2 linked regions of the Lonchura striata genome follow. Each later gene encodes a partner of the first gene's protein in a complex. Links are inferred from orthologs where the notes say so. Each region holds a gene or a part of one and is shown in the gene's direction. Other genes may lie near its edges.

Region 1 (15,892 bases):
ATCTTGGACAGCTAATAAAAAAGAGCTCTGGGTATGTTTTCCTCTAGAGAAAGTATGAGGATATGAGACACAGAGATAAATGATTTTGCACTGAAAAAATTTTAAGAAGGAAGTTTTCCCTGACATCTTGCTTGGATTCGAGAAAACTAAGCAGTGTCCTAACTTTACATTAAAGCCAGACATGGAGAGAGGAGAACAAAGATTATTTCAGCGAGCAAGGCTTTGAGAATAGGAACTGACACTTCTGTCTGAATCAACCTTCAAACTTCTGTGCAGTTATGAGCAACTGGTGCACAGCTATCTCTGCTCCTGTATTTCACAGTCTTAAATCAGCCCCCCACGAAGTGATCCTGAGCCTTGAAGCAAGGCTTGTTTCTTCATCAGGGTGGGAGTGACTGTGACAGAGCAGCAGCAGCAACCAGTCCTTCAGGAAGGGTCTGGAGCAGTGCTCAGGTGCTCCAGGAAGGCAAATCCTGCTGTCCCTGCCCTTACCTCGCTCAGGAGCCACGGGTGGTCCTGGGTGAGCCGTGCCCAGTCCGTGGCGGGGGTGACCCGGGCATACTTGAAGCGGTTCTGGATGGCAGAGGACGTGCAGATGTACTTGTACAAAAACTCCTTCCCCGTCTGCTCAGAGATGGCTTTGGCTGACATGGCTACCTAGTCTGGATGGGGAAAAAAACAAAAATCCATCAGGAACAGAGCCCTGCTCCGGCAAAGAACTCTGCATCACTCAGCTCAACACAAACCCAAAGCAAAGCAAAGTCTCCCCATTACGTGTGAGATCATAAAACTCATCTGATAAGCAAGAACTACTCATATTGCTTAAAACTCCTACCCTGTTCCCCTGCCATGCACACTATTTTCATCCAGCCCTGTCTGCAGGGAAAGGCAGAATCCCCGCAGCTTGTCCCAGCCACCACCAAGCCTTTCCCAAATCCAGAGCTTGGAGCATCCCCTCCCATCCAGGGCAGTGCTGAGCTCTCTCCAATGTTGCAGCACCCCAGGATTGCTCCTGGTGCAACCCACCTACCCCTTTTCCTGGTGCATTTCCAGGGAGGGATCCTCTCCCTCCTACTCACTTCTCTAAGGCATCCCATATTCCCAGTCAAGCCTGACTGTGGGCATGTCAGCAATCCCCATCCCTTTTCTAAAGGGAAAAGAAAACACTGCCAGGATTACCAAAACTAGAATAGGTTTGCATCACTGTTTTTTCTTGTTTCAGAACCAGCTTTCTTGGAAAGAGTTTTACGTCTAACAGAATAAGATGTTCAAGACAACAATAAAAAAGATTAAGTTTAGACAGTTTGTTTTGTTTTTTGAGTTTTTTTTTAAGAAAAATTCCTAATTCTGTCCCTTTCTATGGACAGTTTTCTTCTCTTTTCAGGTATATTCCAAACTGATATAAGCAAATGATTTCTGGCCTCAAGAGTGTAACTAATTCTTTTTGATATGCAACAAAAGAGTCATAGGTGTCAAAGATCCATTTATTTTTAGCTGCCATAAACACTTCTTTAAAAGAATACTTCATCCCAGTGACCCTGTCTGCATGTGTCACACATCAGAACTGAGTGCTGTGATCAGCCAGCAGGTTTGGTGTGTCTGGGGGGTCAGACTGTTGTCAGGGAGGCTCAAGCAGCAGCTCCTCCTGCATTTTGAGTGACCAGGGTCGTGTCACTGTTTCCCAAGCACTGTCAGTGTGGCAGGAAGCAAAAGCACTCTTGGGATAGATTCAGGGAGAGCTGCTCCAACACAAAAAAGAGGAGTTCAGATTCCATCTGAGCACCTGGACTACCTGCCCTCACAAAACACATACCCCACAGAGAGAAACAGTTAACAAATTCCAGCTATTTCTTGTGCTGCCTTCTGGGTAATAACCATTAGTAATCAGCTGGGCTATTCATCCTATAAGCAAACACAGAATAGGCAGAGATTAACTTTCCATAATTCGAAATAAAGAACCTTTCTACCTAGAGCAGAAAGGAGGAGGTGGGTCCATCCCAACTCCTACTCCATAGTAGGAGGGAGGTTGCATTCCCTGAACTTCCAACACCAAACAGGTTAGACTAAATGCTATTACTGAAAGCTGATAACTGTACTTAAGGACCAGCAGACAACTGTGCCACTGCCATATTTTCAAATGCAATTCCAGGGTTGAAAATCACAAAGGCAAAGCTACAGCAAAGGCAAAAAAACAAAGAACAGCAAGCCCACTTTCAAAGAGTTCTGATGTAAAACCTGAACAGGATTGCAGCACAGCTTCCAATTAAATCCCATTTCAAAACAGGACCGGGCAATGTTTCTGCAGCACCCCATCTTTCATCAGACTCAACCCCCACCCTGCCCCTAGAAACACTTGCCCCTAGCTGTCTGCTGAAACAGCCCCTGTCAGTTATTAGCCTGTTGGCAAAGCCAAGGTGGCCTGACAAGAGAGGAGCTCTTGTGAGCAGCCAGAGGACACCAAACCCCAAACCAACCACCCAGCCTGACCCTGCAGGCACACACAGACACACTCCCACAAGCACCACACCACTGCCCAGCCTCACAGCTGCACACACACGTCTCATCTGTGCTGCAGAGCCTAAAACTTCCCACTGGAATTTGGACTTTAAGCAGAGCTATTTCTGAGAGCAAACCTGCTCCCACTATATATACCTGCAGCCACCATTTGTTCTGCCTGAGAGGGAGCTGCAATATTCCGGCTTCAAGCCCCTCGAAATCCATCAACTCCACAATCTGCTCAGGGAAACAGTGTCACATCTCACTGCAGCAGAAGCAGATGGGTAAACGAAAATGGCAAACATATTTCTTTAAGAAATCTAAGTATTTGTCATTTCTCCAGGGTGTCACGGATCCTCTGAACAGCACTGCAGAACTTCAATCCACAATTAGAAATTAAACCACTCAGGCAGATGCTGGTTATGCCAACAAATACCCTGCAACTGCAGGACACTGGAGCCAGAGTGTCTCAGGTCTTATTAAGAATAGTCCTGCAAAAAACCTCAGTGGGAACGAGTGACATGCATGAGATTCCTTAAACTTGAGGGATACAAAGCAGAGCTGCTCCCCTCTCAGAACCATTTCTGGTCTTTTCTATGTTGCTCCATTCTGCTGCTCTCCTGGTTTCCCTCACAACTTCATCACCTCATTTTTGCACTAACACTACTGGGGTAAAGAAAGGAAACTACAAAATTCTTACAATAGCAGTAGATGAAAAATAACATCCTTGTGTCATGGCAACAGAACAGCAGGAATTTTGCTGTTCTGACCTTATCTGCATTAGCAAGTCTTTAATCACACCCCTCACTCAGTTTTTCCACTGTTCTAACCCTGCCTTTCTCGTGGGACAGAGAGCACAAAGCAATTGCTTCAGTCTGCTGAACTGTTAAACTAAGAGATCAGCAGGAAAATAATCCATAGGGCATCAGCAATTCCTGGCTGTGTGTGTGTGTGCTCTTGCAGGGCCATCAGAGCAGGTCCATTAACTCACTGCATCTGTTCTGCTAACACCAAGCAGGGGCACAGACTCATGTCACTACAGAGGCAGAGGAACTCAATCTCCTCAGTTTTCCAGGAATGAGACGGGGTCAAACTCTCATCTGGCAGAATTAATCTTATTTTCAGTCATGTTTAGCACCTGCAGTGCTGGGGAGAGGAGTGGCTGCACCTCTGAAGATAAACCCGGGGAAAATGTCCCTTTCTCTGCCCAAATCACAAGCTGTGGGATAACAACATTCTCTTCCACTGCTGTGTTCAGCATTCATTAGCCAAGACTGATCTGCAATTTTCTCAGCACTTCGGGCCCCAGACCTTGCACCCACCACACACAAGGTTAGATTCATGTCAGCAGGACAAGTACCACAGATTTTGATAAATTATTTGTGTTCATTTAGTGAGGCTCCAACCCAAAAAGCTTCCCTGCAACACCTCAGAGACCTTTCTCTCATCATCCATACCCACCAATTCAAAAAGAGCTGAATTCCAACCTTTGCTAGCAAGTAAGAGACATGGATTAGATCATATTTTCAGGAGCTCAGCAGCACTTATTCCCTCAAAACATCACCTATCAAACACATGCAAATAAGTTGATGTTTGGGGAAAGTTTACTGAGTGTTTTGACAGAGAAAATCAGCAGGATGGTGGCAAGCAGGCAAGAGTTGAGCTGGATGTTGTGTTTGCTGTGAAACAACTGATACATCTGTCCCAATATACCAGCAACCAGCTGAAGGGTGTATGCAACAAATCCAAAGGAAACACGGATGGAGAAACAGGGAGAAACAGGGAGGCACTCCTGACACAGAACTCAGGTGAAGTCTCCCTGACTCCCAGGAGATCAGTGATGTGGCACTGCTCAGTGTGACACAGTCTGCTCTGCAAGGGGAGAAAAAGTATTACAGACATTGATTTAGTTTGTTTTCCTTCTAACCAGAAGAGGTGCAATTCAGCTTCACCAATGTGCATTCACAAATAATGTGGTGCTCACACATGGAATTCTCCGAGATCTGGATTGGCACTGTGCTCCAATTGTACCTGAACAACACTTCAGACCAGGAGGAAAGGACTCCCTCTCCAGTGAAGACTTGACACCCACTCTCCCAAGAACTGTGTCAACAAACCCACACCATAAACAGCCTCTCCCCTCCATTCTGGGTAATTTATTAACACAGTTCAAGCTAAGCCAGTATTTTCAGCCCATGGCAGCATGAAAAGTTACATCAGCTTCCACCTGGCAGACCCATGTGTTTCGTCAGAGGATGGTGAGGGCTCGGTGTTCAGCCAACGTGAGGTCATGGTCCCCCAGCTGTGGTTGGGAAATGCTGTGTGGGGTGATACAAACAGGTGCTGCATGCCCAGCTCCGGGGGAGGCTCCCTGCACACACAGAATCTCTGAGAGAAACACGGCAGCCAGGGAGGAGCACAGACCATGGACCTGTGGCTAACGGAGAGCAGCACACAGGCTCCCCACACCTGGTGGGCACCCAGTGCTACAAGGAGGGAATTTAGGAATGCTGTCATTAAAAATTATCTTCTGCAGCTTTGAGGGCTCCTTAACAAGCTTACTCCTTAAATCACTTGAACTGTGTATGGCAGTAAAGCGCTCCCTGGCCACCATGGCTGGGCAGGACTTCCAACTGTGGCTGCCCTTGCTTGGGAACCACTTCAGGCAGTGCTGGAACCGTGGGAAGAGTCCTGATGCCTGGAGAGAGCTGCAGAGTCTCATATGCAGGAAACCCAACAGGGTTTGGGCAGCAGCACTGGACAGTACCAGCAGAGCTGATACTCTGAGCTCCAAACCCAGGCAGGAAGCAGAAAGAGTACAGACATCAGAAAGAGTACAGACACCTACAGACAGGAGAGCCAGGGTGCAGCTCAGCTTTCAGCCTGCAGACAACAAACTGCTCAACAGAGAGAAAGGAGAGTCTGTAGAGCAGGATGAGAATTTCGAAAGCAGCAGGGCAAACAGGAGGTGTTTACAAGCAGCAAACAGGACAGCTGGAACACAGCCGACTGTGCTGGGAAGGCAGCGACACGCGGGCTGCGCACACCGCTGCTCGCACGGGAACGGCGCGGCCCCCGCGCGGGGCTGCTCCTCCGGGACGGCCACGAAGGGATTTTCCGCGTGGCAAGGGAGGCAAGTCCGAGGCCCGCTTGGACCAGGGCGAAAAACGCGTCAAGCCGGCCCCTTCCCCAGCCCCGTGGTAATCTCTGCGCTGTCACCACCGCGCACCGTCCCCGGCCACCGGGACCGAGCGGGGCAGCAGCTCCGCCGCCGGGAGCCGCGGGAGGAGCGGCGGCGGCGCCCGCAAGGTCAGGGGCGGCGGCGGGAGAGAGGGGCTCCCTCCGGGCAGCACCGGGCCGGCCGCTGCCGCGGGCACACCCGCTCCGTCAGCGGCGCTGCGGCCGCTCCCGGGGCTCGCCCGCCCCGCCGCGAGCTACGGGAGCCGGGGCCGGCCCGAGCCGGCGCGGCTCCCGCCTCAGACGCGTGGGCGCCGCGGCAGCGCCGGCAGAGGCCCCGCCACGTGCCGGGCGGAGCGCGGCGCTGCCGCCGCCGCAGCACTCACCTCACAGCCCCGCTCGGCCGCTCCCGCCGCGCTCCGCTGCCGCTCCGGCCCCGCTCGCGCCGCCGCCGCCGCCTTTTGTTCGCGGAGCGCGGCCTCCCCGGCCCATCGGGCTACGGCCGCCGCCGCCGCCCATTGGCCGCCGCCGCTACCACGTGCGCGTTGCCTGAGCGCCCGCCGCGCTCCCATTGGCCGCCGCCGGTGGGGTGCGCCCGCGTAGCCTTGTGGGAGTCGTAGTTCCGGCACCCTCGCCCCGCCCCCGGCGGACCCGCGGCCGTGACCCCCCACGCCGGACCCGCCGCCGGTGACGTCACAGAACACGATGACGTCAACGCGCCCACCGGTACCGGCGGCGGGAACGGGGCTCCTTCCCCAGCGCCGGGACATGCCGGGAAACCTCCCACGGGCGGTGCCTCGTGGTACCCACGCGGGAGTGGCGGCATTGCCACAGCCGGGTCGCCGGTACCGCAGCGAGGCGAGACCGCCGTGATGCTCACGCACCGTCCCGCAGCACCGGGAGCGTCCTGCCCCTGCGCTGCTCCGTTTCCTGACAGGCTCTCGGGGCAGCCGCCACGGCTCTCCGGTTCCCGGGAGCGGCCGCCCACGCTCGCTTTTCCCCGGGGCTCCCAGCCCGTGACTAACGCGGTCATCAGCGGGAGCACCCGGCGCGGCCAACAGGCGGCCTTGTCCCTGTGGAAAACGCCCAATCACTTGTTCTAAAATTTTAAAAGTTTAAAAGTAACAAAATAGTTATACAAAGAGTAATAAAATTTAGAGCAGTAATAATTTGGACAGTTAGAGTTAGGACAATAAAGGACAATAAAAAGCAAAGAAACTCTGCCACAGAAACATGCCTTGCTAACAAATAATTGACCCTTAAAAGTAATAGCCTGTTGCATATTCATATATCTCATACATTATTCAAAATTCTTTTCAAAGGATTTCTTCTGCTTAGTTTCGACTCCCTCCTTCATATTGTAAACCAATTGTGTTGGTCCTTTGAAGTCTGAGTCTTCTTGATAAGGAGGCAATAATTCTTTTCTGGAGACCTTAGTGTCTTGTTGCTGTTATCTCTTAATTTCTTCATTATCTTATCCATTCCTTGAGCTACTTGCAAAAATTATCTTACATCGCCTAGTTTCTATTTTAATATTATGCTATAGCTTAAAACCATATTTAAAGGAGATTAATACAGCATGACTTTCCAACATAGCACATATAGTATTAATTTTGAGATTTGCGAATCATCTAATATGCATTTTTCAGTCCCGACGTGGTGGCTGTGGTGTCCCCACGCCGATGTCACCCACCGAGCTGGGCACAGCCCTGCCGCAGCCCTCACCAACACAGCTCGGGGACGGCGGTGCCAGCGGGGGAAAATCCCCCGGCAAACGTTACCGGGCGCTCGATCCCGCCGCAATTCCGCGCCCGGCTCCCCGGGGCCGGGGTGTGGCAGCCCGGCCGCCACTCCGGAGCTCGGCAGTGCGTGTCTCCCCACCCTGGCGTGACCCCCGGCCCGCCTCCCGGCCCGGTGGCGGCCGGCCAGCGGCGCCGGGCCAGGGCCGGGCTCGGGCGGTGCCGAGCGCGGCGGGAGCCGGGCCGAGCCGGGCGGTGCCGTTCAATGCCGCCGGTTCCGAGCGGGACCGGTGCCCTCCCCCCGCCCTTCCTCTGAGCCGCTTGGCAGGAACAAAGTGTTTCGAGCACAAATCTTGGCGCAGAGTCTGAGCCAGCGCCAAAATGAAGTGGGGACCGGAGCGCTGATGGGAGCGAAGCGGCAGAATTTGCCGTTCGGCTTTTATCCGGCCGGGATTACCGCCCGCAGCGGTGAAACCGGGGCCAGCGGCGAGCACCAAACCAGCACCGAATAAACGACGGGAGGGAGGCGGTGGCTGCCCTCCGGTTGCCCTGCGAACGGCTGGGGCCGAGGAACCGGCTCTGCCCGGTGGCACCGCGGCTGTGCGGAGCGGCCGCGCTCCCGCCCCTCCCGGTCGTGCCGGTGGAAGAGCAGAACCCCACGGGCACGGAGACGGGTCGGGTCAGAGGCACAGTGAGCGCCGGGAGCGGGGCCGGGGCCGCCGGGGCCGCCGGCAGCCCACGCGGGCACCGGCCGGTTCGTCACTCCCGGGGCGGGGCGAGCACCGGGAGCGGGCGGTGCCCGGTACGCGTTGCTCGGCAACGGCGGCGCCGCGCAGCCATGGCGGGCGAGGAGCTGCCCGTGGTCTCCTTCGGGAGCCTCATGACCGAGGGCACGACCCTGGCCCGGCGCGGCCAGCACGACAAAGCTCTGGGCTGCTTCAATGACGTGAGGGCGCCGCGGGCACCGGGGGCAGCGGCGGGGATGCGGTTCGGTTCAGGCGGGGGGACCCGCAAGAGGCGGGGACACCGAGGGACGTGTCCCCGGGAGGGCTCGGCACGGGGGGTGACCCTGCACGGGGCAGTGCAGGGACAGGGCAGCGCCTGCAGCGCAAAAACGAGAGAAAACTCTTCAGTAAAATCCTTGTGGTTTTATCCTCATCCATCATCAAGATCCACGTGGGAACCGTGGCATCGAATACCTACGCTTGTGTGTTTGTGGCGTTGAGGCAGCACAGGTGACATTTCCGTGTGTGGTGACATGTCCAGCACTGGTGACGTGTCTGTGTCTGTGGTTCCAGGCACTGAAGCTGAGAGCAGGAGACAAGCACTGCCTTATCACCCGCTCCAAGTGCTTTCTGAAACTTGGAGACACCGAAAACTCCTTGAAAGATGCTGAAGCCTCGCTCCAAATTGACAATACGTTCTCTGAGGTAACCAGCTGAAGGGGGAGGAGGGGGATGGCCGAGAGCTGGCCTGGATCTGTGAGACCCTGCAGGGTCTGGGGCAGAGCTGTGAGGAAACTCCAGTCACTCCTGAGATTTCTGCTGCTCTCAGAGCTGTTGAGGTGCTCGGGCACCTCCAGGTCTGGCCTTTAACAGAGGCAAGTTGTTATACGCGTGCCTGACAGGAGTTACTTGAGATCCAGCAAAATTTCCCCTCATTTTATCAATTTCTTTCCCCAAATGTGGTTTTAGGGGCTTTACCAGAAAGCAGAGACGCTGTACACCATGGGGGACTTTGAGTTCGCGCTGGTGTTTTACCACCGAGGCCGAAGGCTCCGCCCCGACCTGCAGAAGTTCCAGCTGGGCATCAACAAGGCTGAGGAGGCCATTATCAACTGCATTGGGAGTAAGAAGTGTCGCTTTCTGACCCCCATGAGCCTGGACAATGCTGTTCAGGGCACGGCTGATGGCAAATCAGCTCTGCAAGTGACCCAAGAGCCCCAGAGCAGAGCCTCTCTCTGCTTCTGGCCTCGTGTTCTTTGTGGCAGACAAATCCAGGCAGCCCCACAAAGAGCCAGCCCTGCTCTTTTTTCCTTTTGTTCTTTCTTTCTCCCCTGAACACCTGTTCACACACAGGACCTGATCCCTTGAGTTGTGTAGGTAAATTCCCACACTCCAGTTTCCAAAATCATCATGGAAACTTTCCAGAGAATACGGACCAGAGCAGCTCATCTCATCCATGAGAGATTAGATGAGAGCAGCTCAGTACATGAGGGGAGCTGAGAGGGAAGTTGGAGACACTATTTACAAGGGCCTGGAGTGCCAGGACAAAGGGGAATGGCTTCCCTCTGCCAGAGGGCAGAGATGGATGAGATGTTGGGGAGGAATTCTCCCCTGTGAAGGTGGGGAGGCCCTGGCAGAGGTTGCCCAGAGAAGCTGTGGCTGCCCCATCCCTGGAAGTGTCCAGGGCCAGGCTGGAAGGGCTTGGAGCACCCTGGGATAGTGGAAGATGTCCCTGCCCATGGGAGGTGCAATTCTAGGGGATGGAACTGCATGAGCTCTAAAGTCCCTTCCTATCTAAACCATTCTGGGATTTCATGATTCTATGATCTACCTCCAGCACTAATTACAGAATCCATTTTGAGACCTTTATCCCTGTATTCCAAGCTTGGAATGCAATATGCCACGCTACCTCAGACTGGCCTCCTGAAATCCTGACTCTCCTCCAGTTTTCATTGCAAAAGAGCAGTGAAACTGTTGACTCTTGCAACCAGCTCTGCTTTCACCACTCCTGGCTCAGATCACTGAGCAGGTCCTGGAGAGACAAGAAAGGCCAAGGACCTCGTGGGCTTTAAAACAAACAGAAAACTCTTTTCACTTAGTTTTTCTCTCAGCCGTGCCAGCAGGCATGGACAGGACGTGTCCGACTGTGGGGCACGGACACACCTCACCTGGGGCTGCCACTGCTGACATGTGAGTGGAACACGTGTGCAGGGCTCCTCTGGGGCTGCCAAACCTGTGGGGTGGGTTGGAGCCTGTCCCTGCCCAGCACCTGGCACGCCCCTCTCACACCCTACACAGATTCCCAGGTAGGCCAGGGCCTCCCTCTCCAAAATTTCAAAACTTCAGCCCTCCCCCAGTGCCAGGGTTTAACACGTGCCAGTGGCACCAGAGCCTGCAGCACTTTCATATAGGATAGTTATTTAAAAAACAGGGAAGCTTTCCAAATCTGGCTTGCTTTCCTCCATTCCTGCTGCTTCCTGAGCTTAGCACAATGCTGAGATATTATCACAGCTCCAGCTGAAATCTTCCCAGCTCAATATCCCGAGGCAAGAGCTCTAACCACCTTTGGATCCCCTAGGCTGCAGGCACAAAAATGAATTAAAAAAGTAGAAAACTCTTCTTTTCAATCAGTCAGTAGCTGTGAGATGCAGGGAAACATAAAAACAAGCCAGCGTGGATCTGGATGTTTGAACAGTTGGGAAATGCACACACATGAACAGGGTACATCCCCAGGCTGCTTCCCTGGCTCTGCCTCCCCTGCATGGATGGGAACACCTGCCCCTGTGACCTGCCTGTGTTTGTGCTGCTGGTCTGGGCCCCAGGGCTGCCAAAGGGAATTCTGCAGCAGCTCAGAAGCTCTGTCCTTCCCTCAGACCAAACAAAGAACTGTTCCTCTCTCTTCCTTCCCAGGGTGCATGGTGGTACTGGGGTCAACTGAAAACACAATGGGCCTTTTGCCCTAATGAGTGCACAAACCTTTAAAATACCTTTCCTTCCATCTCATGCTCCAGCTGTGATCCCCTAGAAGAACCTGCATCCTTCTCCTTCAGTTTCCATGCAGGATGTACCCTGTCTGTAGGAATATTGCAACAGCAGCCCCCGGTGCTGTGTGAATTGAAACCCCAAGAGGAGCTGGTGGACAAGCTGCATTCCCTGCTCCCAGAACACACCAACACCCCCTATTCCATGGGAAAGGATTAGAAAACGTTGGGGTGAAACGGAACGTTTTGGGCTTGGCACCTTTTTTGGGCATTTTACTGGCAGCACTAACACTGACCCCTCTGTGTCTGCAGATCCATCCTCGGTGAAGCTGGAGGGCAAGGAGGAGCTGTGCTTTGTGAGCAGGCAGGCAGAGGTACAGCACGGGGCTCTTGCTGGACAACTTCTGGAGTTGTTGGAATGCTGAAATGGGCACCAGAGGAGTGACAGTCCCTGCAGGGACACGGCTGTGGGAGCAGGGGGCCTGCTGAAGGGTCTCTTGAGCTTTAAAACACACTGGCCTGTCATGAGAGTATTTGTCACCTGCTTCTAATGCAGGTCTGGCTCAAGGCACCCAGAATTTAAAGGGGAAGGCAGAAGGGCAGGAAGAGCCACCATGCAGGAACAAAACCTGGCATTTCTCCTCCAGCCCATCTCTGGGGTATGCCAGCCACCCATCTAATGAGTAACACCCCAGAGGTCAAAGAGTGCACAGTGAGCTCCAGTATTGACTTTGGGTTTACCTGATGTTTAAAGGTCACAGTTTTCATAATGGACACTTTCTTTATTGCTTCACTTTTGGATGCTCCGTTGCAGTAGTGTCTTATTCCTCTGAGAAGCCAGAACTAGTTCTTACCCTTTCTGTAATACCCTTGTGGTCCCCAGGGAGCACAACTGGCTGCAGAATTTCAGTTGCTCATGGCCAAAGCAGCTGGTGAGACACTTTCTGCTTTTATTTTAAAAAGATGTCTTATATGGAGTATAAGCAGAATTCTCATTCCAGTGTTCCCCACTGAAGTCCCCCATCTCCTTTTGTTTTTTTTTCTAGCTGCAGAGCAAAAAAGCCAGCCAGAAACAGCAAAACAAACCAAAGGATCAAAAGGATCAAAAACAGACAAAGAAGAAGAGTCCAAAAACAGAGCAACAGCTTCTGGGACAGCTTTATGCTGACAAGGCATACCTGGAGAAATTGCTCAAGGATGAAGGTGTTTCTCCTTCTCAGCAGATTCTATTTTTTTTCACCCCTTTTTTTTCTTCTTTATTTATTTTCTTCTTTTAAATCCATGTGACTCTTCGTTAGTTGTACCAGAGCTCACATAGCACATGGTGCTCACAGTGGTGGGGACACAGATATCTGCTCATGGGGCTGTGACTCTTCTGTGCCTTTGTTATAAATGCTGTTAAGGTCAAGATGCAGGAATGGGACAACAGTCTTATTTTAGAAAAAGGCACAAAGGTGATGCTCCTTAATTTGTATTTCTAGGGCACTTTTCACCCTGAAATAAAGAAGTGATTAAGATTTGGTTTACTCACAGGTTTTACAGTGTTGCCAGCACTAATTATACATGTGGGCGGTCTGGTTTGCAGGTAAAAGCCCTCTCAGTTTCCATCTGCCAGCCTGATCCACAGCACTGCTCAAAATGCTCTGTCAATACAGATGTGCCATACAGGTGTTCTGTCCCAGAGGACAGGTGCTCAGCACAGCTGGCCCCACTTACTGGGCCCCGTCCTGGCTTTAATCAGCAGATATGAGGCTGGAACACCAGCTCAGCTCACTGAACTACAAGAGTAACAGATTTTTTTTTTAGCTGCCCCATCATCTCAACTCTGGGGAGCACGGGACACTTTCATTTCCAGGACTGACTGTGTCAGAACAGAAAAACGTTCCAAATGAATTCCCCACTGAGCTGCAGCTCAGCTCTGTTGATTCTCACTTGGGTTCTACCTTCTCTTATTTCCAGACTTGATGCAGAGCAGCACAAGGCAGGGGATGAAAGTCATGGACCTGGTTTTGAGTGGCATCTCCTACCTGAACCAGCGGCGGGATTTCTGGCAGCAGCAGAAGCCGATTTACGCGCGGGTGTACGAGCGCAAGCTCCTGCGGCAGCGCCGGGCGCGCGGCAGGAAGGAGAAACCAGCCGACATTGCCAGGGCCATCGCAAAGGATATGGAGGACATCGAGCTCTGTAGGTTCCTGGCTGCAAAAGCTGAGTGCCTCCCACTGCTCTGGAGAGCTCGAGCTATTCCTGAGCTCTGCCTGAGGGTTTGACACTTCACCAGGTCTCAATTCCCAAGTATCACAGAATCCCGAGAGGGTTTGGGTTGGTGTCAGAATCTGAGGTATTGATGATTCCAAGATTGTAGAAAGTCTCTGTCTTTCTGCCCTGTTGCCATAGAAGAAACCATAATTCGTCTGTGTTGGTTTTCAAAGTTGTTTATTCTGGTTTATCTCTAACATGTTCTGCTGCCCTGCCCAGCTCTGTCCTGCAGGGCAGCGTGTGGGGCTCTGCCCTCAGTGGGATGTTACAAACATTAAATACCAGAAACTCCCTGTGCTATATTTACAATATTATACACCAGAAACTACCTGTGCTATATTTACAATAACGTGCCAATATCTGTCGCCTAGGTTGAACAGTGTGTCCCCAGCCTAAACCCAGTCCCCAGTTTCTGGTATATGTTACAAACATTATATACCACAAACTACCTGTGCTATGTTTACAATAACGTGCCAATGTAACATCCCTCAGTGGGATGTTACAGACATTATACACCAGAAACTCCCTGGGCTGGATTTACAAGAACGTGCCAATATCTGTCACCTACGTTGGACAGTGTGTCCCCAGCCTGAACCAACAGAAAAATGCCAAGACCACAGTGAGACATGGAGGGCATGAAGAAGGAGAAAAAGGACAAGGCACACCCAATTTCCTCCATCTTGTCCCCTTTGGACCCCTCATCTAGAATCCTAAAATTTTACTTTTGCACCTGTGCCACATCTAATTATTACTTCTATCAAACACTCAGAGCTTGTGATTCTTCCTGTAAGATTGAAAACTCTTTTCCATGGACAGAGATCACAGCCAATGTCTCTGGGGGCTCTGTCCAGGGGGGTTCCTGACCCTCTGTCCTGACCTCTGGACAGAGCCAGAGGGAAGCCCTGGGCTCCCACAGGTTGGAAGGAACCTTGAAGTTCATCCCGTTCCATCCCTCCTACCATGGACAGGGACACCTTCCACTATCCCAGGTTGCTCCAAGCCCCATCCAGCCTGGTCTGGAATACTCCCAGGGATGGGGAATTCACAACTTCTCAATGTCTCTGCTCCCTGTCCCCAGCACTGGCCAGAGGTTCTGCTGAGGAGAGCTGCAGGAAAGCTGAGCGTTTGCTGAAAAAGATACAAGCGTGGTCAGAGGATGAAGTTCCCAACAAGAATGAACTGATTGGGAACCTCCACAGCTGCATTGGGAATGCACAGTTGGCACTGGGACAGATGGAGGCAGCTCTGCGCAGCCACAAGATGGATCTGGATTGTGCCAGGCAGCAGTAAGTTCTGGGAAGTTCAGGTGGGTGGAGAAAGGGGAAAATGCCTCTGTGGGGGTGTTTTAGCATTAGGTAATGTAATTCTCACCTGGGGGGTTTAATAGCGTTACACATTCAGCTCTGCCTGAGTATTGGGGTCTGTGGTGACTTTTTATCTTCACTATTTCAAAACAAGGTGCCTGAATCAGATTTTTAAGGGCCCACAGCACAGGACACATCAGAACCTCTTCTGTAGCAAAGCAAAAGAACACAAGTCCCAGTTTCAGCACTTTAATCTTGAGCAGGTACTTTCTTCTCAGGAAGACCTGGGTTGAAATTGCTCCAGTTTTCTGCTACATTTTGTCTTAAACTTCTTTTCATAGAGACTATTAAGCATGGCTGGAAATAAAGGTCTCTTCCAGGTGCACTTACCTGTCTGCAGCACACACGGCTCTTCCAGCTGAACCACAGGGAGCAAAATGTAGTCTTAGATTTAGCAAGAGTTTGCAAAGCATAGCAGAAATCATGGCTTTAAGTGATTCATGTTTTGCAGTAGTCACTGAGCTTTTCAAACATCACTGAGTGGTTGTTTCTTATTGTAGTAGGGCATCCCCAGTGTGGGGATAATTAGCATTGTCTCCATGATTCTAGAATGCTGATAAATTGTTTTATTATACTATACTATACTATACTTATTCAGAAACTCATCGCCCTTGCAGACAGTCCAATACATACTAGATTAATCCTTGAATTTAAAACACCTATCATTATTAGCTAATTAAGAAATCACCCTTTAGTGAACAAATCTTCAAAACACATCCCACGTGTTCACAACAAGTACAACAAGTGAAAATAAGATTTGTTCCTCATTCTTTTCTCTAATCATCTCACAACCTTCCCTAGGACAATGCCTGGGAAATCTGTGTGCCTCGCTTTGTAGCTAGAGAGCTGCAGCCACAATTTCTCATTTTCAAAAACCCTTTTGGAAATGAATGTTGGTTTAGGAAAAGGAGCGGCGGGGACGGGCGGGCTGCGCCCTCGGGCGGCCGCAGCTGGGGACGCTGCTAATGACTCATTAATGACTCGCGTTAATGACCCCGTGACGGGGCTTTGAGCTCGGATCCTTACGGTCCCTTCCCACCCGAACCGGTCTGTGATTCACGAGTCCCATCCTATGCTCCCCGCACAAAGCTTTCTGTCTCTAAGGTAAAGGCAGGCAAAGCTGCTTCTGAAGATGAGAATGAGGATAATTAAGA
Region 2 (15,686 bases), on another chromosome or scaffold:
TGTTCAGCTAATTCACAGTGTGCTGATGTGGGGATCTGTGTGTCATCCTGCATTGCACAGGTTACTTGACTCCTGATATTTCTGTCCCCTCAGCACAACGTGTGGATCACTGTTATTTTGCCAATACAGTACCAATACAGCTTCATTGTGAGGATCAGAATAATAAAGAAGGGAACACATGATGTGTCTGACAGTGCAGATTGAACCTAGCAGCCTTTGAGTTTCATGGGGGCAGGTTGGAATTTCGGAGCTCTTTAAGGGGACATTTTAGGTAGACCTAGAGACCAGGTGTGGAATTGAAAAACAGGAATGAGAGGAGATTTTTATTCATTCATGTGGTGTGCTTGGCCTAACAAAATAAGAGTGTTTCTATGAAGATGTGTATAGTAATTTGATAAAATTATTGCTGACACCAGCAAGGTCCAGAATACAGACTAGAGACACCCGTATGTTGAAGAAGGGCCAGGAGAAGTTGTCTTGAAGTTTTGTTTCAGGTGATTTTTAGAACTAAGACAAAACCACAGTTTTTCTGGTAGGGTACCCTGGTTTTCTAAAGTGCTCTAGCAAGAAGACTGTGATAGAAAAGCAAAAATACCATAACTGGTGACCTTCAAGATAAATGGCAGTCTCTTAAAGCCAAATAACTTGAACATTAAATGTGTTAACATTAACACTGTATTTTGCTAAATAATCTTCTGTAAAATCAGGTGTATTACAGCTTTAGTTAACGTTATAGCTATTTTTTATTTTCTGTGGGTTTTGTTAAAATTATAATGTCAGGCAGAGGAGAGCTTAAAAAATACTGCTCAGGAATGACCCTCCTGTTATTGTTTCTGTTTGGGTTTGTTTACAGAATTGGAGGAAAGAACTGGAAAAACACAGGGAGAAATTAATGGGTGGAAATGAGAGCTCCTCCAAAAAAAAAGAGGTAAGTTGTTTTCAGTTGTATACATTCTGTGTTTGGAATTGGGATTTATCATCAATGCTGCCAACACAGAATTTTGTGAATACAATTTAAAAGCCAGCATCAAAGTTCATAAACCTAAATGCATGCCAAAAGAAAATGATGCTAAAGTAACATTTATTTTGTTCTATTTTTAAGAAAAAGAAAAAGGAAAAGAAGAAATCTAATAGGGTGAGCAAAATTTTCAGTTTTCTGAGCTTTTTGCTTTGGGGTTGTTCCTGTTTGTCATTTAAGTTGTCCTGGAAAGAGAAAGTATAGCTGTAATTTTGATTTTAGATGATAAATTAACTTTTGTTTAGAAAGGGTTTGCATATATTTGATACAGGGGAAATTAAAGGTAGGAAAAGAGCATTAAATAGATATTATTAAAAGAAAAATGTTAGAAGTGGTTTAGAAGTTTATTTAAGAAAAATCTCTGTAAGACCAGCTTCTCAGAAGTAAAATTGTATTGGTTATGCTTTGAAAATGAAGACATTTTAAAGGGAGTGTTTGAATAGGCTTTTGAGTATTTGCCAGACAAAATGCTGCATCTCACAAGCTTCACTTTTTGTTGTATTTGGTCAAGTTGTCTTCATCTTCCTCTTCTTCATCAAGCTCTGATTCTTCCAGCAGTTCATCTGATTCAGAAGATGAGGTAAGAGCTAACCTACTTGAACCTATCATGTTTTGTCCATGACATCTATTTAATACATATTTTGATAATATGTTATAGAATATTTTGAGGGGCTAATTTGGATAAATGCATTTAGTTTTTATGCATTTGATATATATAATAAAGTCATGAATTTTAGACATATGTATCCAATCAGTAGTTTTTGTGCGAACACTACAGATTTTGGCACCCTGTCTTTTAAACTGGATCCATTTTAACACTGAACTGCTTTCCGAACAGAATCCCCTATCAAATCATAAAAATGCAAAAATACCATTTCTACTTTCTAGCAAAAATCTTTGTTACAGGTGATCAGATTCTACAGCATACATCTAAATAATAAACACAATCTAGAGAATCTGGATTTTTCACCAGCTTGCATTTTTTCAATGCAAAAGAGTTATGAAGGTCCTCCACTAAAAAAATCAATTGTAGTGTACTTTATTCCTCAGGAGAACATTGTAACATGTAGGAATTTGATGTTTCCTTTTCTTTACGTTTAATGTAAATCTAATTCTAGTGAGAATAAATTCAAGTTTGTGTTTTTCTTTCTTTTTCTACAATATTTATGGATAGGATAAAAAGCAAGGGAAGAAAAGAAGGAAGAAGAAGTATCGCTCCTCACGGAAATCTTCAGCAAGCACAGCTTCAGAATCTGAGTCAGACAGCAAGGTAAATACACAGATGTGTTGCTCTTGGCAAGTTTTCTTGGTTGGTATTATAAAACCATAAAGATTTCTGACTTTAACATATTCATATGGATTTTCATCTTCCACTGTATTCTCACAGGGCCTGAACTGCGCTTGTGTCTTCCACATGAAGTGTGGAATCTGCCTCTACTGGCCACATGCCTAGTGGAAGTAATTGGAAAACGAGCGCACTTTATTCCAGCAATTTGTAGTAATTTTTCTGAATTCAGACACATGCAGCTTTTTTGTTGCTCAAATATTTAGTTTTTATACTTCATTAACACTGAAAATGTCTTCTGAGTATGCAATTTAATTGAACACCATATCTGAAAATGCAGGTATTGCTGGATTGTAGTGGCCAGAACATTGCCTTTCTAAATATCTGAATATTTTCCTGTTGGAAAACTGAGCCTTTCCCAAATGCTTATTAAATTGAAGTTGTCTTTTTCCTTTTCTGAAGTATAGCAATGTAGATACATGGTCTTACTGAATGAACAAAAAAGTGAAGATACACAAAGCAGCTTGTTCTGTTAGCACTTTTCTGTCTTACAGTGTATAGTTACCGTACTTCTTGCTTAAATATTAATAATACAGTGAGTTTTTAAGATTCTCTGTGTAGACTTTATTGCAGGCTTCCACTGGAATACCTAATTTGGTGGGATATAAATTGTAATGAATGACTGTTTGCAGACATCTATGAATATGTGCTAATGGGAGGTTAAAAACTTCCGCTACATAAATGGACCCAGAGATACCCTTACTGCAAAAAACTCGGGGAAAATACCTGTGCAACCTGGTCTGATCAGCAGAGATGAACATGGGTAAAGAAAAAAGATTCCCAGCTGTTACATGTTACATGTGGTTACAGCTGTGATAGCTGGTAGTCTTCCCATAGGCTAAGTGTCCTGCAAGGATGCTGTTACCTCATTCCATACAGACCTTTCCATGCTGCTGGATCAGGAGATTAGCAGCTGCATCAAAATTACAGCTTTTTATATTGCTCTTGTCAACTTCAAGGTAGAAAGAACAAATATTGAAGAATTACTTTCAACAGACATAAAAAGACTGTTGGCCAGACTGCTTTGGAGATTTCTTCCTTTTTAATGAAATTATTTTGTTGTGATTTGTTTTCCTTTCTGTTTAGGATAGCACAAAAAAGAAGAGGTCAAAGGAAGACTGTGAAAAAGAGAAGGTATTTTTATTCTTGAAATCCTTTGATGAGAACTGCATGTTGCATACATAATAGATATTTCTTTTTTTAATATTGAATACCTCACCTTACATCTGTGGAAATTTTCTGTGCAAACCCACACAGTCATAAGGTATTCAGTGAACCCAGTTTGAAGTAGAAGTTTAGTTGGATTCAGCACCTAGTTTAGTAATTATTGTAGTGAAAACCAATGGATCTGTTCTTGTTACATAGGTAAATTAAAGATCAGCTGCATCCGTAGTGTTTTGAGGTTTACCTTTAGCTGTCAGATTGAGCTAAAAATGTGTGCGATGATATTTTCAGTGGCACACCTGGTAGGGTATTGACTTGTTGCTGTAAATGAAGAAACATAAGCAGAGGATCTCTTCATCTAAATGTAGTCATAGATAGTATACTTATGACAGCTTTGAATAATTGCAGAGAAAAAGGTATTAGCTTAAGAAAAATGACCTTATTCTGCCATTTCTCTAAGCATGAAAATATTCTCTCCTGCCCACCACCACACCATTTTGTACACTCATCCATTATCTTTAACATAAACAATCGAATTGACTTCAATTGTAGTTATTCATACACTGTGGATAAACTAAAAATGCTTGCAGAGTCCACCCTAGTCTTTCTGTCCAGTTACCTTTCTTATCATGTTGGCCTCTCCTGCTCTGGTCAATAGTATTGACTTTGATGTACAAATTCTCCATTACCTAAAGCAAATGTACTCATTTTTCTCCCTTTGCTCCTGCTTCTATTTTAGTGTCCATTTCCCATCTCATCCTTTTGAATGGCTTCTCTTTGAAGACCAAGTATCTACCATGGTCCCTTACTGTAGCACTGCTTTCACACATCCTCTGAAAGCAAAGGACACTTGAGAACTAGGGGTCTTTCTTCCCCTACCTGCAGATCCCCCTGTGTGCCAGATGGGCTGCATCCTGTGTACTTGCTCATGAGTTCTTTTCAGAAGTTTCTGGTCTTAGAAACTGAGTGAAAGTACCTTCAGTCTTAGGAGCACGTAGTAGTCTTGTCCTGAGCAAAGGAAGTGCAGGCAGCAGAAAAGTAGCTCATCAGAACAATCTCACACAGCATCAGAATTTTAAAAATAATTTCTTTTAAATGCACTGGAATGAAATATGATGTGTTGAAAGTACAGCTCGCAGGGACAGCTTGTCCTGGTTCAACACAAATACAGAGGGAACTTTTTCTTTCATGAACAAAGCAAGAGTCAGAAGCTAAAGTGTTTGTATGTATGTATTGAGACATCTTCAGTTACTAGTTACTTAAAAGTGGTGAAATGTTTTATTTTCAAATGCTTACTGCTCCATGTGTTATTATTTAAAATAAGAGACTGTTAGTATTTAGACAGTTCCTGTATCTTGGTAACAAGAAAAAGGAATATACAGAAAATTATTATTTTCACTAAAAGTTGATTTTAACAGTTACGGTAATTTGATAATGATGATGGAATTCGTTTAATGTCAATAAAATTTTAAAATATTTCACAACTTAAAAGTGATATTTCAATCTTCAATTTTAAGCAGAAGTTTTATAAAACGTGAAAGGTCTGTCTTTACTTACAAATATATTATTTTGTGTAGGAAGGTAAAAATCACCACAGGAAAAGGAAGAAAGCAGATCGTGGTGATGGACCTTTATCATCAGAATCTGTATCTGAATCAGATCAGGCAGAGGAGGTCAGTGTGAATCCTCAGTTTCCGATGTTACAGTGCTTGTAGCTTGTACTGATTCGTGAGCGAATCAGTGAACTAGTTCAGATTTAATACATTGTTGAAACTGTTCTGCACTGTACAGTTGAAGAGTGCAGTGCACTCAAAGTTGTTTGTATTTTTCCTTTTAAAATAAAAGTTTAAGGATTGTTTAGTCTAGCTTCTATCACCTACAAGTAATTTCGAATGAATTTTCTTGAGAATCAACTTTTTATGAATACTACATTTGCTTTTATTTTCTTTAGGTGCAAGCAAAAAAGAAGAAAAGCAATGAGGAAAAGGAGAAAACAGCAAGTATCCCTCTTACTCATACTGTAGTTTTAGGATATAAATACTCTGTACTTGGTTAATTTCTAGTTTAACGGTTTTCACAGATACAAATGTTTCATAGCATTAGTCTACTGTTACATCTAAATTAAAAATTTCTCTATTTACTTGCTGAAGTCACTTTTTCAATTGTTGAATTAAAGAAGAATCTATCACTCTTTTACCTGTATGTGATTTGAGATTTTTACAACTTTAACACTTACTGTAGGATATATTTTATTTTGTATCGATGTCGTAGAAGTACTAATACCTGTGTGGTATCAAGTAGGGGAGCAGTTTGCTACACAGACAGACATCAGGGCTGTTTCTTCATTAGTGTTGTGTGTAATTCCTTGCTAAGCCTTCTCTGCCATCATGGAAAGGGCCTTGGGACAAAATTGCTGCAACATCTATGCCATTATAACTCTTTTCCCAACCAGATAAAAAGCTGCCAGGAACCTACTACTTTTCTCAGTATTTTTTTTTTTGTATCTGTTGGTCAGACTGGAAGGAAGGTTCAGCAGTGATTTATATGGAATTCAGATTTACCGCATGTACCTGAGGTTCCTCAATCAGTGGGATCCTAAATGCCCACTTTAGATGTTTCTGTATCTGTCTCCCCTGTCCGCAGCAGTGTTCCTTATCAGGCACATGAGGTGGGGCAAAGGGAAGGTCTACATTAGTCCCCTGAAAATACAGGCAGAGAAGTATCAGTGATACTCAGTACACATTTTTCTATGGAACTTGCTTTTTTTTTTCTCAGACTCATGGGAACCATTTGCCATTACATTTCTAGTGATTGCTTATGGTCTTTTTCATAAAAGATTTGTATGTGTAAGGAATATGTATAAAACAAAGCTTTAATACTGATTGTTTCATTTACGCATTGCCACATCTATATGAGAATTTCATTTGAAATTCTGCTTTCAAAAAGACAATATTGCATCTTTTAGCTTCTTTATTACAGTGATCAGCGTACTACCTTTAGGACTGAATCCAGTAGGGTCAATTTGAGTGTGTTTATATTTCCAGTTGAGATCATAATTCTTTTATTTTAAACAAGGTACAAGTGATAGTCTAGCCAAGTGCAGTTGAGCTATATCATTTTACACAGTGAATTTAAGTACTTACTTTAAAATATATAAACATCCTAGTTATTCCCAAATCTGTCACTGCTGGTCAACACTTCCTTATTACTTTCTCAGTAATCTATAATGCTCTGAAAATAATTTAAAATATTAGGAAATGTAATAGTGACAGTGATCAGAAGTGTAAAATAGCCATACCATGGCTGAGATTTAAATTTGAATTAAAGACTGCTCATAATAGCCCAAATTGTTGGGTAAAGTATTTCTTTTTGTGATTTCTCAATAGGCTTCTGTAGAAATCTCTTTGAAATGTCTTTCAAAAGATACCCATTCTTGGTTCTCATTTTGCATTAGCAGAATATAACTGATGGCAATTGTATTATAGAAAAACTTCTTTTTTTTTTAGGATAAAACAAAAAAGAGAAAGAAGCACAAGAAACATGGTAAAAAGAAGAAAAAGAAGACTGCTGGTTCCAATTCAGATTCAGAATAAATATTTTAAAACAACCGGAGCCTATCAACAGAAGTGCAATGACTAAAGGAAACTTAAACTGTGAAATGACAGCAAACTTTACCAAACTGCATGAGTTTTCCTGTGTTTTAAAACTATTCCTAATCCTTCAGTAGCCAGCCAGATGCAGCTGTGCTGGGAAAGACCATTGTTACTGCCTGCTGCTTAATACATGGAGGTACAACTCTGATAAGATTCCAGTAAGCAGTGTTAGATGTTTGAGATGAGGTGGTAGGCCAGCTGAGGTGTAAAATATTGGAAAATAGGAGTTAAACTTTTTAGATAGTAAAAATAGTCTTTTAAAGCATTAGTAAAAGGTTTTATTTGTAAATCAGGACAAATTAAATCCCAAGTTCATCCTGCAGGTTAATATTATGCATAAACTACTACAAGCTGGTGTCTACTAATGGAAAATGAACGATAATATTTAAAAGGCTGCCTAGTTGAAATGTGGATCATCTGCCCCATTATTATCTCTATGCTTATGAGAAAGAGAATGCTACCATTTTGGCTACCTGAATAGGGTGCCTTTGCCTTTGATTCTTGCAAATCTTTGCTACTTTCAATCCATGCATCTCTGCATTCCTGGGAAGCTAGAGCTATTGTCAGCAGACTTTTCTGAATGAGCAGTTTTGAGCTTCCAAGCATGTGCTTCTGCATTAAGCAAGAGCAATGACATTTTGCAGTACAACTGACATTCAAAACCTGAAGATTTTACCTCTGCTTTTTCAAAATAGTGATAGACCTTTGCTAGTAAATATCTGTATTTCATTCAATGTAATTTTGGTTTAATTGAAAACTTCTTGCAAACACTGGTAGCTTTCTTTGCATTATCTTTAGAATTGTTTTGCATGATTTGTACCATTTTTAAATTAACAAAATGCAGGTAATCATTTGTTGTAACCAGTTTTATGAATTACATTTCACATGCAGATTTTCATGTATGTAGTTATAGTTAAGTTCATTGCTGTGTTTAAGTGCACACTTGCTGAAGTTATTTAGCATGTAAAAAGCAGGGTTTTGATACCTTAACAGCTTCATATTGAAGCTGATTTTACTCTGATCAAGTTCAGTGGCAGATCTGTTACGTGATGCGTCTTGTTAGATAAAAAACTACTGCCAGAATCTCATTAAGATACTGTTTAAACAGTTTGTATTTATATTTTTGTACTTGAGGGCTACAGAATGTTGACCTAACTCATAAAGCTGTTTTACTTTACTTTAGTTGCTTTAGATAACTGAAAAGAAGCTTTTTTTAAATTAAATGTTGCCACAAGAAAACATGAGCAACCATTTGATTTTAGTTTACATTAAATTCTCACTACATCTTCCATTGAAATATTAATTGCTGGGCCTTCTGTTAGCCTTTAACAAATGCCCATCCATCCCAGGTGTAGTCAAATATAGATTGTATTTTTGATCTACCCCTCTTTTCCATTGCACAGGTGCTAACTTAGAACTTACCTCTGTTGCATATGGATGTTTCAAATGTGTTGCCAAGAATTTCAGGACTTTGAAGACATTGATTATTAGTCTGCAAACAATAACTAAAATCTGTGGGAAAAGGTGATTTCATATTGTGTACAGAGAAATTGTCTTCAAGTTCTTGGGAGAATACAACCATTGAGTTGCAGCAATGTGCATCTAAACAATAGTAATATCTTCATCAACTATTTTATACTCTTGGGCTTGATGTTACCCATTCTAGACACTCTTGTCAGTGAGGTTAAAATAAAGGTGATTTGCAGTGAACAGAGGGGTTTGGTTTGGGGTTTGTACGTAGTTTTGTTGGGGTTGTTTTCTTTTTAAGTTGTGGTATTGCAGTTTTGGTAAAAGAACCTGTAATGAACCGTAGCATAAATGCTCTGTCCTGTGTAATACCTTATTTGACTTTTACGCAACCACCTGCCACAGAAAGAAATAAAAATGGAAATGAGACCCAGTCTTCCAAATACCTAAGCCGGTATGTAATTTTAATTGTGTGACTGTAACTATCTGTTCTGCTCAGCTGTAGGCTTGGAGTGCGGCTGTCATGCTTGGGAAGGGGTGTGGCCGCTTAAGGGGCTTATGGGCTTTGTCAGTTGCCAACAAAGCTGCTTTAGTACTGAAAGGGAACTGCTTCAGTTTGCAATGCGTTAACAAATAGGTGGAGTCTGCTCCTGCGTGCCCTTTTTCCTGAAGGAAAGGTGGAGGCTGGTCTCAGCCTTTCAGCTTTCCCGATGTGCCCACGTCGAGGTCGTGAGACAGTGATGGGGGTTTGGGGTGGCACCTACACCCATGTTCCAAGTTTCAGCAGAGGGACAAAGTAGAAAATAGGCAATGTTGGAATAAGAGTGGTTTAATATATTCTTGCCTTCTGACAGTAGATGAACAAGCACTGTTGTATGTTGTAACTTTTAGCTCTTTTTTCCCCACAAACGTTTTTAGATACTTAAAATGCAATTATTTTATTTTTGACTGCTGCAGTTTTTTTGAATGCGTATTAAGACTCGATCTCTGTTCTACCTGCGTGTTTCTGTGTGACCCGCCCGTGCGGCCGAGCGGCACCGCCCGGCCGCGGCCGTCCCCCCGCGTTGCCAGGGCAGCGGCAGCGGCTCCCGGCCGCCATGAGCAGGAAGGGGGCAAAGCTCCTGGTGGACTCGCTGACCCGATCCGCCAAGCACTGTGAGTCCCCCCGGGCTGCAGGAGCCGCCCCGCCTTGTTCCCGTGCCCATCCTGGGTGGCTCTGCTCGTCCCCCGTGGGAGGCACTCCACCGGCGCTCCCTTAGGAACAGCGTCTGGGGCCGGGGCGGGGGGTGATTATTGCTATCGTGGTCCTGGCGTGTTCCTGTGCCTGCCTCGTGTTTGACCAGCTTAACTTACAACCTGTGTTTGTGTTTGGGCCGGGCAGTTACCAAAAGCGAAGTGGAATGTCTGGTCAAGCTCTTCGACACGCTGGTGGCCAAGGCCAGCAGCCAGTTTGCTGGGGCCGGCTTCGACCGCACCGTGTTCCGAGACACGCTGTACAACGCCTTCGGCATGACGGATGACGTGGTGCTGGACCGAGGTGAGCGGGCACGCGGCTCTGGGCGCCGTGGGAGCGGTCGGGATGACGCTGCCGACCCGACGAGCGTGTCCGTACCAAACAGCATCGTCACCTCCCGGCCGGGACGGCAAAGGAGGAGTAATCCTCGGGAGCTGTTGAGAAAATGGCACATTTTCTTTCTTTATGCGTCACGGTTTTCCCTTAGTTCAGGAGAGCTCACGCTCTGGCTCGGGCAGAGCAGGCAGAGGCCCTTGGCTGCCCTGTGGCTGTTTCTGTCGCAGCCTCTGTAGTGTCGTGACCGAAGGGGGCAGCGTCACTTTCTTTTCTCCGGTGGTTTCCCCGGGAGCTGCGGTCGCTGCTGGGCGACAGCTGTAGCTCAGGGCGGGGAGTCCCAGGAAGGCATTCTGATACAGTGGGTAACGCTGGGAATAGAGGCTTTGTGAGCAGCATTGAAGGGCCTGGGCAGGTAGTACTAGGAAGTGAGAGTAATGAGACAAATCACCCCGTGAAAATACAGTGATTTCACAGATTGTAACAAGGGGCATGTTTGCAGTCACTGTGAAAGCTGAAGGAATGATCTCGGATGTAGCGATGTCTAGAGGAGTATGCAGAGCAGGCATGAGTCTGCCCTTCTTTCAGTCTTGGGCTGCCGAGAGCCACCCCTTGGTTCAACTTTCTCCATGTCTCTAGCAAGAGAGCTACTTACATGCCATAAAATAAAAACTTGTTGCAATTTTATGCAGCAAGTCAAGTGTGTCTTGGAAGATACCTCACATAACCTTACACATTCTTAAAAATTACTTGAATGCTTACACACAAAGGGGCTGATTACAGTTCACAGAAGCAAACCTATTGTCTTCAAAGTCAAAAATGCTTGGCTCTGCATGGGGAGATGTTCCTTCAGCCAATTTACTAATTAATATTCTAAAATACAATTTATTACAGATGCTGGTGGATGCTTTGAACTCCTTGGTTTTGAATTACTGTATTACAGGCTGTATTAATAGTGAAGCTGTGAAAGTTGCTTAGGGAAGGGAGAAGAAAAATATATTGTTATATGACAGAAAAAAGGTTATTTTTCTTTGTAGATTTAATACATATAATTTCTAGGATTATTTTGTCCAAGATTTTCCAAGACAAAACATAGTTATTTAAATCTTAATATGTATGCAGAATTATCCCTTATTTTAAAGGATATTGGTTTATTTGCTTTCCATCTGCATGGAAGCATAGTTCCTGTAGTTGTTAAGTCAGGAAGGCAACAGATTGGACAAATCTTACCAGGCAGAATTCTGGAGTGGAAGATCAGTAAACTGAGGGGCAGAATCCCTTTCATTGTTACATCTTAGAGTCAAGAACGGTAATCTTACCTTGGTGAAAGCAGATAAGCATCTTAAGAAGAAAGATAATTTATAATTTTACTGAGTTTAAGAAAACATTGGGTTTTTTTGTGTTTCCTTATCATATAAATTTGAAATGTGTCCAATACACTTCTTAGTGTTCAGCATTTTTGATAAAGACAACACTGGCTTCATCACTGTGGTGGAATGGGTGGAAGGCTTAGCAGTGTTACTTCGGGGGACCCTGGAAGAGAAGATGAAATGTAAGATTGATCTGTATGCTAATATTTAGTAGTAATGATTGAATTAATAACAACACATTGCTTTTGTTGTAATTTAGTAGTTACTCTTATAAAGTATTTGGTAATTGAAAAGTTTTCTTCTGTATCGTTTAATGCAATGGAACTGAGTTCTGAAATGGCTTCTCTGAGACAGTTTTTTTCTGTGTTAACTACTGTTACCACAGCCACCACCTTTTTTTGTTGCTTACAAAATCTTGCATTTAAACTGAAGTTTATTCTACAGCATACACTTCTGGAAAAAATACATGTTTTTGTATTCACACACAAAATTATAAAGAAGCAGATGAATCTCTAGTGTGCTTTTGGCTAATTAACAGTCTCAAGCCAAGCAAGACCAGAGCCAACATTCATTTACTGGCACACTAGCTCCAGCAGTTCTTCAGATTGGAAGCAGAGATGGAAAAACTGTAAGATGGTAATGAGAACCTCCACAGTAATGACAGAGAAAGATGGAAGAGAAAAAATAGCAAGAACTCTAGAATTTTAAGCAGCAGGGAAAAAAATAGGGCAAGTGGAGTGAAGAAAAACAATAGAAAAATGAGAATGACAGCATGTTGTTTCCATAGTTCCTAGGTTACAGCATTAGCCATTCCTGCTGCATTAGATAAATTCATCTGGAAAGTGGTCAGGGGTGTCACAGCATTAGGATGTGTGCCCAGGTTGTAATTCAGTGTGTCAGTACAACCACAAACAGTAAAACATGCATTCCTGCTGTAAGCACTATAGAATATACTAGTGCATAGTGATGTAGTGCTGTCTGTCACAAGTGTTTGCCAGGAGTGTTTCAGAATATGTAATAAATTTGGCTCAGTTGATAATGGGCAGCTCTGTCTATAGGTAATTTTCTGTCTATAGGTCTACAGTTTGAATGGTACGTGATTATAGTTTGTAATCAACTTCCTATTTATTTGTATTTCAAAAGACTGTTTTGCTGTTTATGACCTGAATGGTGATGGATACATTTCAAAAGAGGAAATGTTTCAAATGCTGAAACACAGCCTTCTCATACAACCAGCAAATGAAGAGCCTGATGAGGGAGTTAAGGACTTGGTAGAGATAGCACTAAAGAAAATGGCAAGTACTTGTTGTGATACTTGAGGGTCTTTCAAAGATTCACTAACCAATACTTAAAACCTTTCTATGAAGTAACAAAATAAGGTATCTTATTTTATTATATTATTTACAGAAGGATTCTGCAAGTCTCCTGAGGAAAGCCAGAAATATATGAGATCTAATGAGTCCCAGTCCAGTATTCTCATATGAAATCATTAATTTAGTATGTGAATGTACTATAAACTTTATGTATAAACTAGCATGTATGTATGGCCTATACATCTATGCATGCCCAGTCAAAGCAAGAGCCCAGTCAGAAGTGGAAAACTTAGAAGTGTAAGCTGCATTTATTCCATCAGTACCAGCATCTGCAGTAGCTTAATTTTAAAGTATATTTGTGTTTTATAAATGTAATGTCTTTATCCTATTTATTTGTATGTATTCTATTAGAATAGTAAACTCAAGGTTATTAATGTGAAGCTTGTCTTAGAGTGCTTAATCTAGAATATCAGAGCATCTGGGGATAGTCTGTCAGTACTTTAATCAAATCAAGATATATACTCTCTTTCATGGTGGTCAAAAATTTTCACTTCAAACCAGGTTTTGCATCCCAACTCCTTTTTTATTTAAGACCATCTTTTCAATTTTTCAATCCCACCCTTTTTGCCTTAGAGGCAAGTCACAAATCTTTTCTGAGCATAAACTGATGACCCCCAATTTGCAAATCTAACTAAAAATAGAATCCATGTTCTTTGAACACCTGTTAAACAAAACTACAAGTAATAATCCTTTGCTGAAGTGGTCCCTTCCTTTTGCAGGACTATGATCACGATGGCAAGCTTTCTTTTACGGACTTTGAACAAGCAGTCAGAGATGAAAACCTTCTCTTAGAAGCCTTTGGACCATGTTTGCCAGACATAAAGGTACATTAACCTCGAGTTCAAAAAAAAACTGCATAAGCCAATTCCTTACAGACACTTGCATCAATCCTGTGAATGTCAGGGTATCTTAGGCCAATGTGGAGTTCATCCTCTCAGTGCCAGTTCTGCTATCCAAAGGTGGTCCCTGAGCACTCCCACTCCAGGGTTGTTACAGCACACTGCTGCAGGTATTCATCTCATCACTAAGGGAAATTTCAGTCCTGTACATTGTCATCCCAGTCTCTAGCATTCCTGTTTTCATCCAGTTTATCTCATTCTGCAGCTGGGCCTTCTTCTGGCCCTTAATGCCAGATCATTCCTTGGGACACACCCCGACTGCTGAGCAGTTAAAATTTTAATTTCTCCTTCAACTATAACTTTGAATATTCTAGCTGGTCTGCTAGTGATGATACCATTAATGCTATGGATTTACCTTTTCTAAGCTAAAAAGCGAGAGTCAGTCTTCACTGCATACACATTTCAGTTCAGTACCTTTTCTGACTAAATAGAAATCCTTTAGTTAACTGAAAATTAACTTTTTTTTTTTTTTTTTTTTTTTTTTTTTTTTTTTTTAACAGAGCAGTATGTCATTTGAACAGAAAATTTTCCGGAAAGTTCCTAAATAGAAACTCCAAGTTGTAACTCCACTGATGAATACTGTTAAAAGGGGTCTTCATCTTCACCACTCTTTGTGATATAGTAAAAACAGTCATCTTTCAAGTTGCTCCTAAGCTTCAATCTTCCTTTGCTGTTAAAGCTATTGAATAAATTAATTTACTTCTGTAACTCTACCTAAACAGAGTTCTTCTGTGAGTTATGTAAAATATATTACAATATGAGGTACACAGGGCAACACTGCAACAATAATACAGTATATTTGGTTTCTTCATTCCAAGTAACAAAATGACACAGTTTTAACAGGTAATCACTGGGAAATAGAGTATAAGAAAGTTTTATTTTTTACATTAAAAAATACATATTTTAAATATATTCTTTACAAAAGGACTGTTAAAAGATACTGCCAGCAGTATCTATATTCTTCTTCTCTGCTTTACAACTGGTTTGGCTGAGCTGCTCTCTGGTTTTTCCACAGACGTTGAAACAGAATATGCTACCTAAATTGGAGGGGAAAAGATATTAGCAACCTGTAACCATTACTTTTTTTATGCTCATTTTAGAGAAAGGCCACATATCCAAGGTTTGGGTATTCGGAAGGATTTATTACTATCATCACTTGTAATACACTTGCATTGAGTTTTCCTGCTGACTAGAGGAAGAAAGTAGCATCAAAGTCAGCATTAAACACAACAGAAGTGAAACTTAGGAGATTCTGCCCTACCATTTTTGTATTTAACTACACAAACTGATTTCAGATAGTCAGTGATATAATATTATGTATGTCATTTCCCTTCTTCCTAACAGGTGTTTTAAAGCAAGGTTTAATGTGCTTTATAAACTCAGGTATTTCAGGAAACAAAGGGAAAGCAAAAACATGTATTTTGACACATATTTTAGAAAGGTATTTAATATAAAGAGTGCTTGTTTATGAGATATGCACTTTCAAATCGATCTAGTTAGTCAAGGGAGCTTTTTCATATCTTAATGTAAATTAAATGTTTGACCTGCTGATTAATATCCTCAATAAAAGGATATATAGTTTAACACATGCTTCTCAGCATGGAATTAGCGATTCTGTAGTGCTTTTAATGGCATAAGAAGTGTTGGAGCAAAACAACATTGAACTCTGACTTCCATTATTTTCCTTTCAGAAATGAGATACAAGTAGCACACTGGAGTCAGCAGGACTACCTACAAAATTATCATGCCTTCACATGTGGAGGAAATAAAAGTAGTTTACTGAAAATCACGTAAGAACATGCACTGACATTTACACTTTCTCAAGTGTAG

What was found.
Region 2: ODAD4 (region 1) and CLXN share a complex: the UniProt entries of both Homo sapiens proteins name them as parts of the outer dynein arm-docking complex. The link is inferred for Lonchura striata from reciprocal best matches to the Homo sapiens genes ODAD4 and CLXN.

What each region holds. Positions count from the first base shown.
Region 1 is NC_134627.1:6,548,125-6,564,016, reverse strand, and holds the start of ODAD4 (outer dynein arm-docking complex subunit 4), read left to right. Parts: upstream 1-8,162; 5' UTR 8,163-8,250; coding exon 8,251-8,358; intron 8,359-8,710; coding exon 8,711-8,842; intron 8,843-9,106; coding exon 9,107-9,260; intron 9,261-11,430; coding exon 11,431-11,492; intron 11,493-12,164; coding exon 12,165-12,321; intron 12,322-13,077; coding exon 13,078-13,302; intron 13,303-14,452; coding exon 14,453-14,660; intron 14,661-15,892. Other genes in the region: ACLY (ATP-citrate synthase), read right to left, coding at 493-651. UniProt on the Homo sapiens protein: Component of the outer dynein arm-docking complex (ODA-DC) that mediates outer dynein arms (ODA) binding onto the doublet microtubule. Plays an essential role for the assembly of ODA-DC and for the docking of ODA in ciliary axoneme.
Region 2 is NC_134603.1:133,575,893-133,591,578, forward strand, and holds CLXN (calaxin), read left to right. Parts: upstream 1-9,729; 5' UTR 9,730-9,744; coding exon 9,745-9,802; intron 9,803-10,028; coding exon 10,029-10,184; intron 10,185-11,661; coding exon 11,662-11,766; intron 11,767-12,727; coding exon 12,728-12,879; intron 12,880-13,676; coding exon 13,677-13,781; intron 13,782-14,356; coding exon 14,357-14,404; 3' UTR 14,405-14,575; downstream 14,576-15,686. Other genes in the region: protein FAM133B, read left to right, coding at 854-928, 1,103-1,135, 1,530-1,598, 2,193-2,288, 3,450-3,497, 5,105-5,200, 5,479-5,523, 7,034-7,120; RBM48 (RNA-binding protein 48), read right to left, coding at 14,810-14,893. UniProt on the Homo sapiens protein: Component of the outer dynein arm-docking complex (ODA-DC) that mediates outer dynein arms (ODA) binding onto the doublet microtubule. Seems to regulate the assembly of both ODAs and their axonemal docking complex onto ciliary microtubules.